3 linked regions of the Canis lupus familiaris genome follow. The protein of the gene in region 2 interacts with the protein of the main gene of each other region in a pairwise test. Links are inferred from orthologs where the notes say so. Each region holds a gene or a part of one and is shown on either strand. Other genes may lie near its edges. The genes, in order: FLNC, MYOZ1 and TRIM63.

The links.
Region 1: the proteins of MYOZ1 (region 2) and FLNC interact in a two-hybrid assay, tested with the Homo sapiens proteins (2 studies listed by BioGRID and IntAct). The link is inferred for Canis lupus familiaris from reciprocal best matches to the Homo sapiens genes MYOZ1 and FLNC.
Region 3: the proteins of MYOZ1 (region 2) and TRIM63 interact in a two-hybrid assay, tested with the Homo sapiens proteins (2 studies listed by BioGRID and IntAct). The link is inferred for Canis lupus familiaris from reciprocal best matches to the Homo sapiens genes MYOZ1 and TRIM63.

What each region holds. Positions count from the first base shown.
Region 1 is NC_049235.1:7,664,393-7,668,040, forward strand, and holds part of FLNC (filamin-C), read right to left. Parts: coding exon 3,637-3,648; intron 3,484-3,636; coding exon 3,347-3,483; intron 3,170-3,346; coding exon 2,976-3,169; intron 2,884-2,975; coding exon 2,770-2,883; intron 2,147-2,769; coding exon 2,003-2,146; intron 1,785-2,002; coding exon 1,661-1,784; intron 1,517-1,660; coding exon 1,356-1,516; intron 1,153-1,355; coding exon 1,062-1,152; intron 973-1,061; coding exon 803-972; intron 589-802; coding exon 471-588; intron 381-470; coding exon 118-380; intron 1-117.
Region 2 is NC_049225.1:24,891,304-24,894,116, forward strand, and holds the end of MYOZ1 (myozenin-1), read right to left. Parts: coding exon 2,777-2,813; intron 2,403-2,776; coding exon 2,237-2,402; intron 854-2,236; coding exon 622-853; downstream 1-621. UniProt on the Homo sapiens protein: Myozenins may serve as intracellular binding proteins involved in linking Z-disk proteins such as alpha-actinin, gamma-filamin, TCAP/telethonin, LDB3/ZASP and localizing calcineurin signaling to the sarcomere.
Region 3 is NC_049223.1:73,293,035-73,297,270, reverse strand, and holds the start of TRIM63 (E3 ubiquitin-protein ligase TRIM63), read right to left. Parts: upstream 2,897-4,236; 5' UTR 2,640-2,896; coding exon 2,481-2,639; intron 1,609-2,480; coding exon 1,436-1,608; intron 1-1,435. UniProt on the Homo sapiens protein: E3 ubiquitin ligase. Mediates the ubiquitination and subsequent proteasomal degradation of CKM, GMEB1 and HIBADH.

The sequences.
Region 1 (3,648 bases), on a different chromosome or scaffold from region 2:
GGGTCCTTGGCTGCACTCACTCCAGGTGCATGGGTCTTCTAGCCTCTGCCCCTGTGATTCCTCCATCTTCCCTGTAAACCCCCATACCCCAGCTCCCTCCAGCTGCCATCTCTTCACCTTGGAGGGGTCAGGGGGCAGGACACCTTCCACAGCAAAGGGGCTGCCAGGCACTGGGTGACCATCGTAGGTGATGTCCACCTTGTAGGGCCCCTCCTCAGGGGGCATGTAGCGCACAGCCTGGGTTTCAGCTCCACCCCCAGGCTCCACCTTGCAAGGTATGGGTCGGCGAGAGGGTGAGGTCATCCGCACATCCAGCTGGCCCTGACCGCCAGCCCCACGTGTGTTCACAGAGAACGCCTGTTCTTGCCCCACAGCCACCTCTGCGGAGAGGGCAAGGGACACAATGAACAGAGACTCCAGCCCATCCCACAATACCGGTCACTTCCCAAGGCAGCTCCTGTCCCACTTACTGCTGTTCAAGCCTTGAACTTTGACTTTGCTGAGGTCCAATGGGGGTGCCACATTCACTACAAAGGGGCTCTTGGGGACAGGGTCCCCACCATAGGTCACTGTCACAGCCATGTTGCCCTGTTGGGTATGAGAAGAGGTCAGAACTAGGTGGGTTAGACATAGCCTGGCAACACACCCTTGGCCAACATGGACTTGAGGCCCAGAGGTGCACAGCCAGAGAGGAGGGGTGGCAGGAAAGGGGCCAACACTCAGAAGTGGCCCTAGGAGACTGGAGAATGGAAATTCAGGACCCTATCAGCCAGGAATGGTGAGGTGGGGTGGGGGGACACACCTGCTGGACAGCTGTGTACTTGACAGTGTAGGAGTAGTCATGGTTGTCAATGATTTCAAAGTCCCGCACAGCTTCGCCCTTGGCAGCCCCAGCAAAGTGCACATCCAACTTGGCCTTGCCGGCTCCCTTGGTCAGTACCGTGAAGTGAGTGGGCTTCCCAACTTCCACACCTGGGGAGCCCAATCAAGATGGCAGGTGAGGGCCTGGGGGACACCCAGCCCCACCTCCAGCCCAGCCCCGCACCTGCCCAGACACCTACCTGTTCTGTTCAGCCCAGGGCCCTCAGCCTTGACCTTGCTGGCATCATGGGATGGGTCCACCTTAATATGGAAGGGACTGGCAGGGATCTCCTGGATGGGAAAAAGACCTGGTGAGGATAGGCAAAGCCAGCTTCTGAAAGAGTCCCCTTTGTTTTTTCTGAAGCATGCTGCCTGCACACAGAAGTGCTCGATCGATGGCTGCAAAACTGTCCCCAAATGACATCATATCAAGCTGCTGGCTTAGACATGGAGGGTATAGGCTACCAGACTGCCACAGGCCAAGGGTGGGGTACCTGGTTGGCAAACAGCACCATGATGGTGTAGCGGCCCGCTCCCGGGGGTGTATACTTGACTGTGAAGGTGTCATTGTCATTCTTGATGATGTCAAAGTCGATGTCAGCTTCTGCAGGGCCCACTACGCCAGGGGCGCACTTGATACCGATACTCACATCACCTGAAGGGAGGCAGGCACAAAACCGTGAGTGGGGTCTCAACAGCCTCACCCACTTAACTAGAACTCTGCCCAGAAACAGGGTGGAGCCAGAGCAGGAGCCCCACCCCAGGCCCCTGCCCCCACCCCAGCCACAGCTGGGCGCACCTTGCCCAGCCTCACTGCAGTCCACGGTGAAGTAGGTAGGCTCGTTGGCCTTGAGGCCTGTCTTCTCCACGCCTGGGCCATACACCTTCACCCGCTCAGGGTGGCTGCCTTCTCCCACATTTACCTGCAGGGAAAGGGGTCAATGCTCAGCACAGTGCTCCTCCCACAAGGCCGCTTTCCTCAGCGCTACCAGGCCAGCCTTAGTGGTACCGATCTTAGCCTCCATGTGGACAGTGAGGTGGGGAGCAGGTGACAAGGGCCCAGGGACAACCAACATCTCCTGTGCAGGGTTCCACCCTCCCCTGGGACCCCAGCGGCAGGAAGCAAGACAGGAGGACATACCCGGAAGGGGCTCTTGGGCACGTTGACACCTCCCCAGGAAATGATGATGGTGTGTTTAATGGGCTTGGTGGGCACATAGGAGCAGCGGAAGGTGCCATCGCCGTTGGGAATGACCATGATGTTGACAGGGCAGCCATCAGCGTCCTGTGGGCATCACCAAGCGAATCTTAGAGTGCTCAGGCCTCCTCAGAGCACTGGCGCCCTCTGCTGGCCTCCATGCCCTCCTCACCCACCGCCTCTGACCTCAGGCCAAGGGAGCTCCGCCCCACGTGCTCTGGTGGTCAGGGCCCGCCCTGGGAGCCTAGAGATCTGGCTCTAGGCCATCTGTGTGGCCTGGCCTCCCAGTTAAGCATCTGAAATGTGTTAGTGGGGGAGAGGTTGCGCTAAGTCACTGTTTCTAAAATTGAATAGTGAACATTTTAAAGAAAAATTATCCTCTTGGACCCAAGAATACATTCATTAACTTCTAGAGGTTAGTGGCTACCAGTTTGAGAAACTGATTTGGGAAGCCAAGTCTATCACTGGCTTGAAAGATAATCAAATAATCTTTCAATTCAAAATTATTAGTACAACAAAATACACTTTTGGTAAAATATGCTCTTATGAATTCATCAGAAAACACAAAATTTTGTTTCCCATAGTTCTCCTGGATCCATAAGAGTCAGTCCTGCCATGCTACAATTTCCTCTGCCTCTCACCTGCCCCCACCTCCCAGGGCTCCTGCCCCAGGTGATGGGGGCAGCAGGACTGGGCAGTAAGTACCCCACCTGGGCATACAGATTCAGGTCTCCCTTGCCAGCGGCACGAGCATCAATGGTGAACTCCGCAGGCTTGTCCACGATGCAGCCTGTGGGCTCCAGGCCGGGCCCAAAGGCCTTCACCTGTGTAGCGGGAGGAGCAGAGAGCTAGGTCAGGGCCTGGAGGAGGGCCCTCTCCCCCAGTTCTGGGCCCTTGTGCAGGCGCTGGGACCCACCTTGTCTGGAAAGCAGTCGGGTGCGGCTGGCTGGATGTGGGCAATGAAGGGGGAGTCTCGGATGTCCTCATCATCACAGATGACATGCACAGCATACTCTCCGGGCTCTGTGGGCCAGTACCTCACATCGCAGGAGCCATCCCCCTTGTCATCACACTCAATCTTGGCCTGCGAGGGCCCCTCAATGGAGAAGCCTGTGTGCAAGGTACAGAAGATCAGAGGGCACAAGAGGCAGCTCGGACACTCAGGCAGGACCCCTATGTCCCACTCCTGATACTACCCAGCATTCCCACCCCGTCCCCAGTCACTTCCCAGGTCCCTCCATCACACCACTCCCCAGCATTCCTAGCTGCTACCACCCAGCCACTTACCCAGTGTCCCCACCTCCGTGCCAATGGCCTCCACCACAAAGTCGGCTGACTTGCCCACCTGGCCAGTTTTCAGGCCAGGACCCCAGGCCCGTACCTTCTGTGTTCCTGCCTCTGGGCTCACCTGTACCTCAAAGGGGCTAGGCAAAGAGGGATCTGGTGTCAACGCCAGGAAGTACCTCTGCTGGGGGTAGCCCTCCTCTCTTCCCTCACAGTTCCAGGCAGCCCAACCTCCCTCCTCCCACCCTGTGAGGGTCCCAGACAGGAAGGCATAGAGTGTGCCCGGTGCTTACCTGCGGGGGATA
Region 2 (2,813 bases):
GACCATCCCAATCTCTAGTCAGCTACACAAAGAGAGCTAACACTAGCGTCACCAACATCTACTTCCTAACCACAGCACACAATAGCTTCTTAGCTTTGCCCACATATGGGCCAACACATGTGTTTGTGCACGATTGTCTTTACTCTTGAATAATTATGTCTTTGTATATACCTATGAATATGGTCTCGTGGGTGTGGATGTGGGTGTGGGTGTATAAGCAACCAGAGCTCAGGTTTGGTCTTGAAGTCTGAATAATGAATGCTTAGTACTTGACTTTAATTAGTCTCTGTGCATTGTTAGCTTCAATTTTCATCTGCCCTTAAATATCAGAGGAAGAATGAGTTCATTTCCTTGAAGTTTATTGACTGTTACCGGTGGCAGAGCAAATTCCATAAAAGAACAGGTTCCATACAGAGCAAGTAGAAGGGGAGCTCTGAGCTGGTGAGGAAGGATGCTTGGAGTGGGGACTTGGAGTGAAGACTGGAAAGATAGATATTTCCCTCCTTTTTCCCTCCATTCCCACCAGGATACTGGATTTACAGTAGGGACATCCTGCTTAGCATTCCCTTTCAAATTGAACATGAGAAGAGAAAATTGATACAAAGTAGAGGAGGAAACACCTCACAGCTCCTCTGTTTCTCCATCCAAGGGGATGCCAATATCCACATTGTAATCTACTGGTTCCCCAGAGCTCAGCCAAGGAATAGGGGTTCGATTGAAAGAAGGCCTGTTGGAGAGGCTCTGGTTGTAGAGGACCAAGGGTTCACTCAGTAGGGGCCCCAGGTCAAACTTGGGCATCTGGAAGGTCATGCGTTTGGAGGCCTTCTCATATCCACCATAAGGCATTGCTGTCCTGAAAAGGGGACACATTATTTAATTAAAAACCAGGATAAAAGGAACAGCTTTATCAGTAAGATGTTACCCTGTTTTGAGAATGGGGAAGTTTGTGAATTTTAGTTTAAGATTGCTTCTGCCCAGTGCCTGGGTGGCTCAGTCCGCTATGTGGCTGACTCCGGCTCAGGTCATGATCTCAGGGTCCTGGGATTGAACTCAGTGTTTGGCTCTATACTAAGTGGGGAGTCTGCTTCTCCCTATGCCTCTCCCTCTACCCCTCCCCCAGCTCATGCTCTCTCTCTCTCTCTCTCTCTCTCTAACGGATAAATAAAATCTTAAAAAAAAAAGAAAAAAAGATTGCTTCTGCACTCCTTATTCTTCTTCTCCTTTAGTACTCCATTCCTGGTTTGCTTGTTTCCCCAGAGCTAATAATGAGAAAAGAGGTGTAGTGGGTACTGGATAGAGAGCTTCATGGAGGGTTGTGACTCAGACACTATAGAACCAAGGGTCGTCTGAGACCACCTTAAATTACAATGTAAAGATACCCTCCCCCCCCCCACACACACACAACTCCTACCCCACTTCCAGTGGATAGCCATGGCCTAGTGAGAAGAATTAGCATTGCCTGGAAAATTCAGGATTCTTAGGATCAAATGCAAAATGCTTCTCTAGTGTTTCCTTATTCTGCTTTTTTTTTTTTTCCTTATTCTGCTTTCACATAGATCTCCTATCCACAGTCTAGAGAAGCCAAATTCCAAAAGAATAGATACTTAAGCTTTACTAGAGTATAAAAAAATTGAACAGTAATGGAATCCTACAAGAACAATAACGGAATCCTAACCTTGAAAGAAAGGAACCTCCAGTGTACTTTAAATATCTAATACACTATTCCCCCCCGCTCTTTTTTAAGATTTCTTATTTATTCACTTGAGAGAGACAGAGTGAAAGCACAAACAGTGGGGAAGTGCAGAGGGAGAGGGAAAAGCAGACTCCCCACTAGCACAGGGAACCCAACATGGAGCTCTATCCCAGGACCCCGGGACCATGACCTGAGCAGAGGGCAGACCTTTAACCTACTGAACCACCCAGGTGCCCCTATATTATTCCCATTTTACAGCAAGGCAACCAAGGCTCAGAAGTAGGGTGACTTTCCCTTGCTCAGAACAACTAGTAAGTGGCAGAGTGAACTAAAATCTTGCCTCCCAGCAAACATTTCCTTCATCAGACTGCACTGTTCCTCTGGACTCAAGTGAAAAAAGCAAAGACCTCCAGTTAGGGCTCCCATGTTCCTTCCCTCCCTCCTCAGCTTCCTTCTGGAATATAAGAACTAAAGTCTCCATCCCAGCTGAGGACACTATGCCACATACTGGAATGCATCTGGTTCCTCCTTCATAACCCCTACCTGTTAAAGGACTTATATTGGGGAAGTTCAGGTTTGGCCCCATAGGCCAGTAAGTCGATGCCAAGCTCCACTTTCTGCTGAGAGTCCACCCCCATGGCTCTCTCCCATGGGGAAATATAGGTCTTGAACACAGTGATATGTTTTCCTTCTCCACCCGTCTGGTCTCCTGGCAGCCACAGGAGAGAAAATTAAGTCAATAATAATGGTTAGTAGCCAGTGGAAGTTAGTCTTACAGTCCTCCACTAGGGAAGTTGTTGAGGCCTGAGACCAAAGATATAACATCCTGGTAACTGTGCTAGTTTTGTGGGAAAATGACAGCCTGGGGTCGGATCTGTGACTGAAACTGAAAAGCCAGAAAGGCGACTGAAAGATAAGGCTTCCGGGTGAAACAGACACAACTCAGTTTTCTCCTGGGCCCAGAGAATCCATCTAGGTATCTCCACAGGCCTCCCTTGTTCCCTAAACCCAGCCCAGGCCTCATTCCTGGGAATATCTCTGCTCTAGGGACCAGACACATTACTCTTGGGTAAGGATACTTGCCTGTTCCTGTCTCGCCAACCCCTGCTGTTCCAGCAGC
Region 3 (4,236 bases), on a different chromosome or scaffold from region 2:
CAGCAATGAATGTATAGAGCCTAGCACAGAGCAGACCCTCAATAAAGGGCATCTCTCACAGCCATTTGACTGTGTAGAAAGGCCCCCGAAGGGTTCAAGCATAAACCTGCTCTTCAGAGGTCGATACTCGAGGTGAGGGGCTAATATTTGGGTGCAATATTAATTTTCTTATTGGAGAATGGTCAGCAATATTTCTGTACTTTTATGGAGTTTTACTCCAGGAACATAGAGGCAATAGCAGTTAGGAATATTCACCATAGAGTCAGTTAGGCTCCCTCTCAGCATCACGGCTTGCTGAGCAGCCTCGGGCACACCTCTGACCTTCTAGGAGCCTCCATTTCCTCATTGGAAAATGAGGGTAAGAAAGTAGTATGGATTACTGTGAGAATTAAATAAAGGTCACGCATGGAAAATGCTTAAGACGAGGTGCCTAGACACAGGAGGTGTCCATACATATCTGATACTTTTAACATTTCCCATCAAAACCCTATTTGATAGTCACACTAACAAACCTTACCATCCTCCTCTGCTGATGGATAAAATGAAGGCCCAAAGATTCAACCAAGTTCCCACAATACATTAGTAACAGAGTCAGACTAGCCGACGGTTCCCCTGGTCAGGGCTTTTTCACACTAAGATTGGTCTGTCACTTATCCTGGGGCAGGACACTGCCAGGCGGGCAACACTGGATGATGGTTTGGGACCCAAGGGCCTGAGGGCAGTGGCCTGGGAGTCTTGTCAGGTGTCAAATTTGTAAAGAGCTCCCTGGTGGCCATATCTCTCTCCAGCTGGACACACACACTGCACAAACTCCACTCTCACAAATTCTGCCCAAGACAGAGCTGCTGTTTTACAAACAGGGAGACTTGGGGCCAGATCGGCAGGGCTGTCCTCGGCTATTTCTCTTCTCAGCTGGGAACACTTGGGCAACTGACTTCACCTCTTCGAGCCTCAGCTTCCTCATCCATGAAATGGGGAGGATGAAAGTCATGCCCAATTCCCAGGATTGTTGTGGGGCAGCGGGAGGAAGCGTCCCCGGTACCCACGATGACAGCCATTGCCTCCACTATAGAGAGACCGGCTGTGTTCTCTCTGGGCACTTTTCTCTGCTTGCCCGGCCACTTTGCTGGCCCCAGTGTCTCCCTCTCCATGTCACAGTTTGTCCCTCCCCTGGTTCCTGTCTCAGCCTGTCCTAGGAGAGCAGCCTAATGTCTGGGCTCTTCTCATTCACTGAGGGACCGACCCCAAGAGCCAGTGTCGGGGGATAGAGATAAGCCTCTGTTGTGCCTGAAGAAGAGGGAGATGGCTCTCTGGACTGGCTAGTGTAGCTCTCCAGCCAGGGCACTGATCCTGGGCACATGGGGAGGAGCCTGGGAGAGCTGGGCACAGACCAGGTGGGGAGGAAGGATGGCTCCCAGGAGCCGGGAGGACTGACCTGGAGCACTCCTGCTTGTAGATATCAATGATGTTCTCCACCAGCAGATTCCGTTGCAGGCCGTACACTCCGTGACGATCCATGATCACCTCGTGGCGGCAGGAAGGGCAGCGGAAACGGCCTCCAGACATGGACACGGAGCCAACCCGGTTGGTCCAGAAGGGGTTCGCGGCCTGCGGATGGAAGGGCAGAGATGAGGCCTGGGACAGTCTCTGTCTTTCTTGCTCACCCCAACCATTCTCGTCAAGCCATTTGACATGGAACTCCCCATCCTGAGATGAGAGCCAGCCCACGTACACGGGGAGCACCTGAGAAAGCAACTAAGCGGTCAGCAAGTTTGGGAGGCAGCAGACCTAGGTTCAAGTCACAGTTATCCTCTGAATGACCTTGGGCAAGCCACTTTCTCCCTCCAAGCCTCTGTTTACTCATTCACGCAATGGACATTATCGTTAGAGCCTGCTCGTAGGGCTGCTAATTCAAAGATAAAATTTGGAGAGAACATTAGTACAAAGTGCTTCTGGAACCTTGAGTCCTGCCTCCCAGCCAGGGCACTTCTCCTATTCCTTTGTTGAGATGGATCCCCTCCAGCCCCACATTATAGGGAACCAGTCTCGGCCTCGAAGGGGAAGATGCCTCTACTGCCCAGTGCCTCCTGGCCACCCTCCTCCTCCCAAAGCTCTGGGCCCGCTGCCACCAGGGAGCTGGCTCCAGCCCCAGGGGTCTGGTTTCTCTCTCCTCTCCACCCGCCTCTCCCACTTATCGCTTGAGGCATTTGACTCCTGTTTGGAGAGTCAACTGTGGGCTCCGGGCAGCAGTGGGGGAGCTGCGGGCAGGGTGGAGACGGGAAGCACACGTCATGGAGAAGGAATGGGGTGGCCAGGGTCACCTCCGAGCCCCCTTCAGCCCAGAGGCCTCTGCAGGGGCTTTGCTCTGCTCGGGAGAAAGCCAGCAGTTTAGAAGTCCTAGACTAAGAGACAATGGCTTTCACCACAGGAATACTGAGCAGCCGCCTGGAGCCCAGGACAAGGCCATGCCCAGCACTGACCTGGAAAATGTCATTGGCACACTTCCGGCAGAGGTTGTGCTGACAAGGCAAGATGACCACCGGCTTGGTAAACATCTCCAGGCAGATAGGACAGATGAGCTGCTTCTCCAGGTTCTCCATGGGGTTCCCATCCTGGATTAGGCTTGATTTATAATCCATATTGTCAGGACGTGTGGAGGTTCACCTGGCTGCCTCCTTTACCTGCCTCACTTTACGTAGACCTGGGGTCTTGCCTTCGTCACAAAATACCCACACAGAGCCTCCTTGCCTTGTTCTCCTGGTGCCCGAATTCTGTCTTGGTCTGAGGCCCCTCTGATATTTATAGCTGGGTCTCGGTCACATGAGCCCCAGAAGGGGACCAGCTGAACATTCCGATGCCAAGTGGCTGGCTGGGTTTGAGTTTCCTCCAGGCCTGAAAGACCGGCCCTCTCAAATCACATGTAGGGATGAGCAATCGCTGTTCTCCTGGGAGGAGGGTCGTAAACAAGAACAGCCTGTTCGTGGGCAGCGTGGGGGGAGGAGAGGGTACCAGAGTTTCCTCCAGAACCTAGTCTCCTATACCAGGCTGGTAAGCCAGGAAGTGGACCCAAGGAGTGGGCCACTGGGATTTGCAGAGTTCATAGCCAGTGATCCCTCACTGTCCTAAATCCCTTCCTCTAGAGTACTGAGTGGCTCCCAAGAAAAGGGGTCAGGGCAGCCCCTCTCTCTGAGCCCATCTCTGAGCATAGCATATTGCTGGAAACTTTGAAACCCTACCCCAGCTAGCCTGTCCCTCCACAGTTTTATAGATTTTGACACTGAGGTCCAGAGAAGGAAAGGATCTTAGTCAAAGTCACTTAGAAAGTCAGTGGCAGGGACTCCTAGGTGGCTCAGTCGGTTGGGTGTCTGCCTTGGGCTTGAGTCGTGATCTCTGGGTCCTGGAATTGAGCCCTGTGTCAGGCTCCCTGCTTGGCAGGGAGTCTGCTTCTCCCTCTGCCCTCACCCCATTCATGCTATCTCTCTCTCTAATAAATAAATAAGATCTTAAAAAAAAAAAAAAAAAAAAAAAAAAGCAGGACCATACTTTTAAAAAAAGAAGAGGGCAGCCCTGATGGCCCAGTGGTTTAGCGCTGCCTTCAGCCCAGAGTGTGATCCTGGAGACCTGGGATGGAGTCCCACGTCGGGCTCCCTGCATGGAGCCTGCTTCTCCCTCTGCCTCTCCCCCCGCCACCCTGTCTGTCATGGATAAATAAATAAAATCTTAAGAAGAAGAAGAAGAAGAAGAAGAAGAAGGAGGAGGAGGAGGAGGAGGAGGAGGAGGAGGAGGAGGAGGAGGAGGAGAAAGTCAGTGGCAAAGCCAGGAATCTTTCATTCATCAGACATTTCTCTGAGTACTAACTATACTTCAGGCACCAGGGTGACAGATAAATGAGTAATCCTTTTCCCTGTCCCAAGAAGCTCACAGCCTATCGAGGGGGAAAACGAAATAGCTATCATTTTGGTACCATGAAGCCCTACCTGGACATCTAGAGATTATCTAGATGTTCCCCTCTACTCTCTGCACAAATTTGTATTTTTCTCTATGTTCTTCTGGACACCTTCTGTATTGGCACGTAGAAGTCACTAGAGTAGTTCTGATGGCTATTTTTAAGGTAGAATCTCATGCAAAAGGATGTAGGGGTTAGCCAATATTGGTGTTGGGGCAAGAGGGGGAGCAGTGACCGCAGGCCTCAAGGATGAGCCTAAGACACCATAGAATGTACAGGAATGTCCAGGG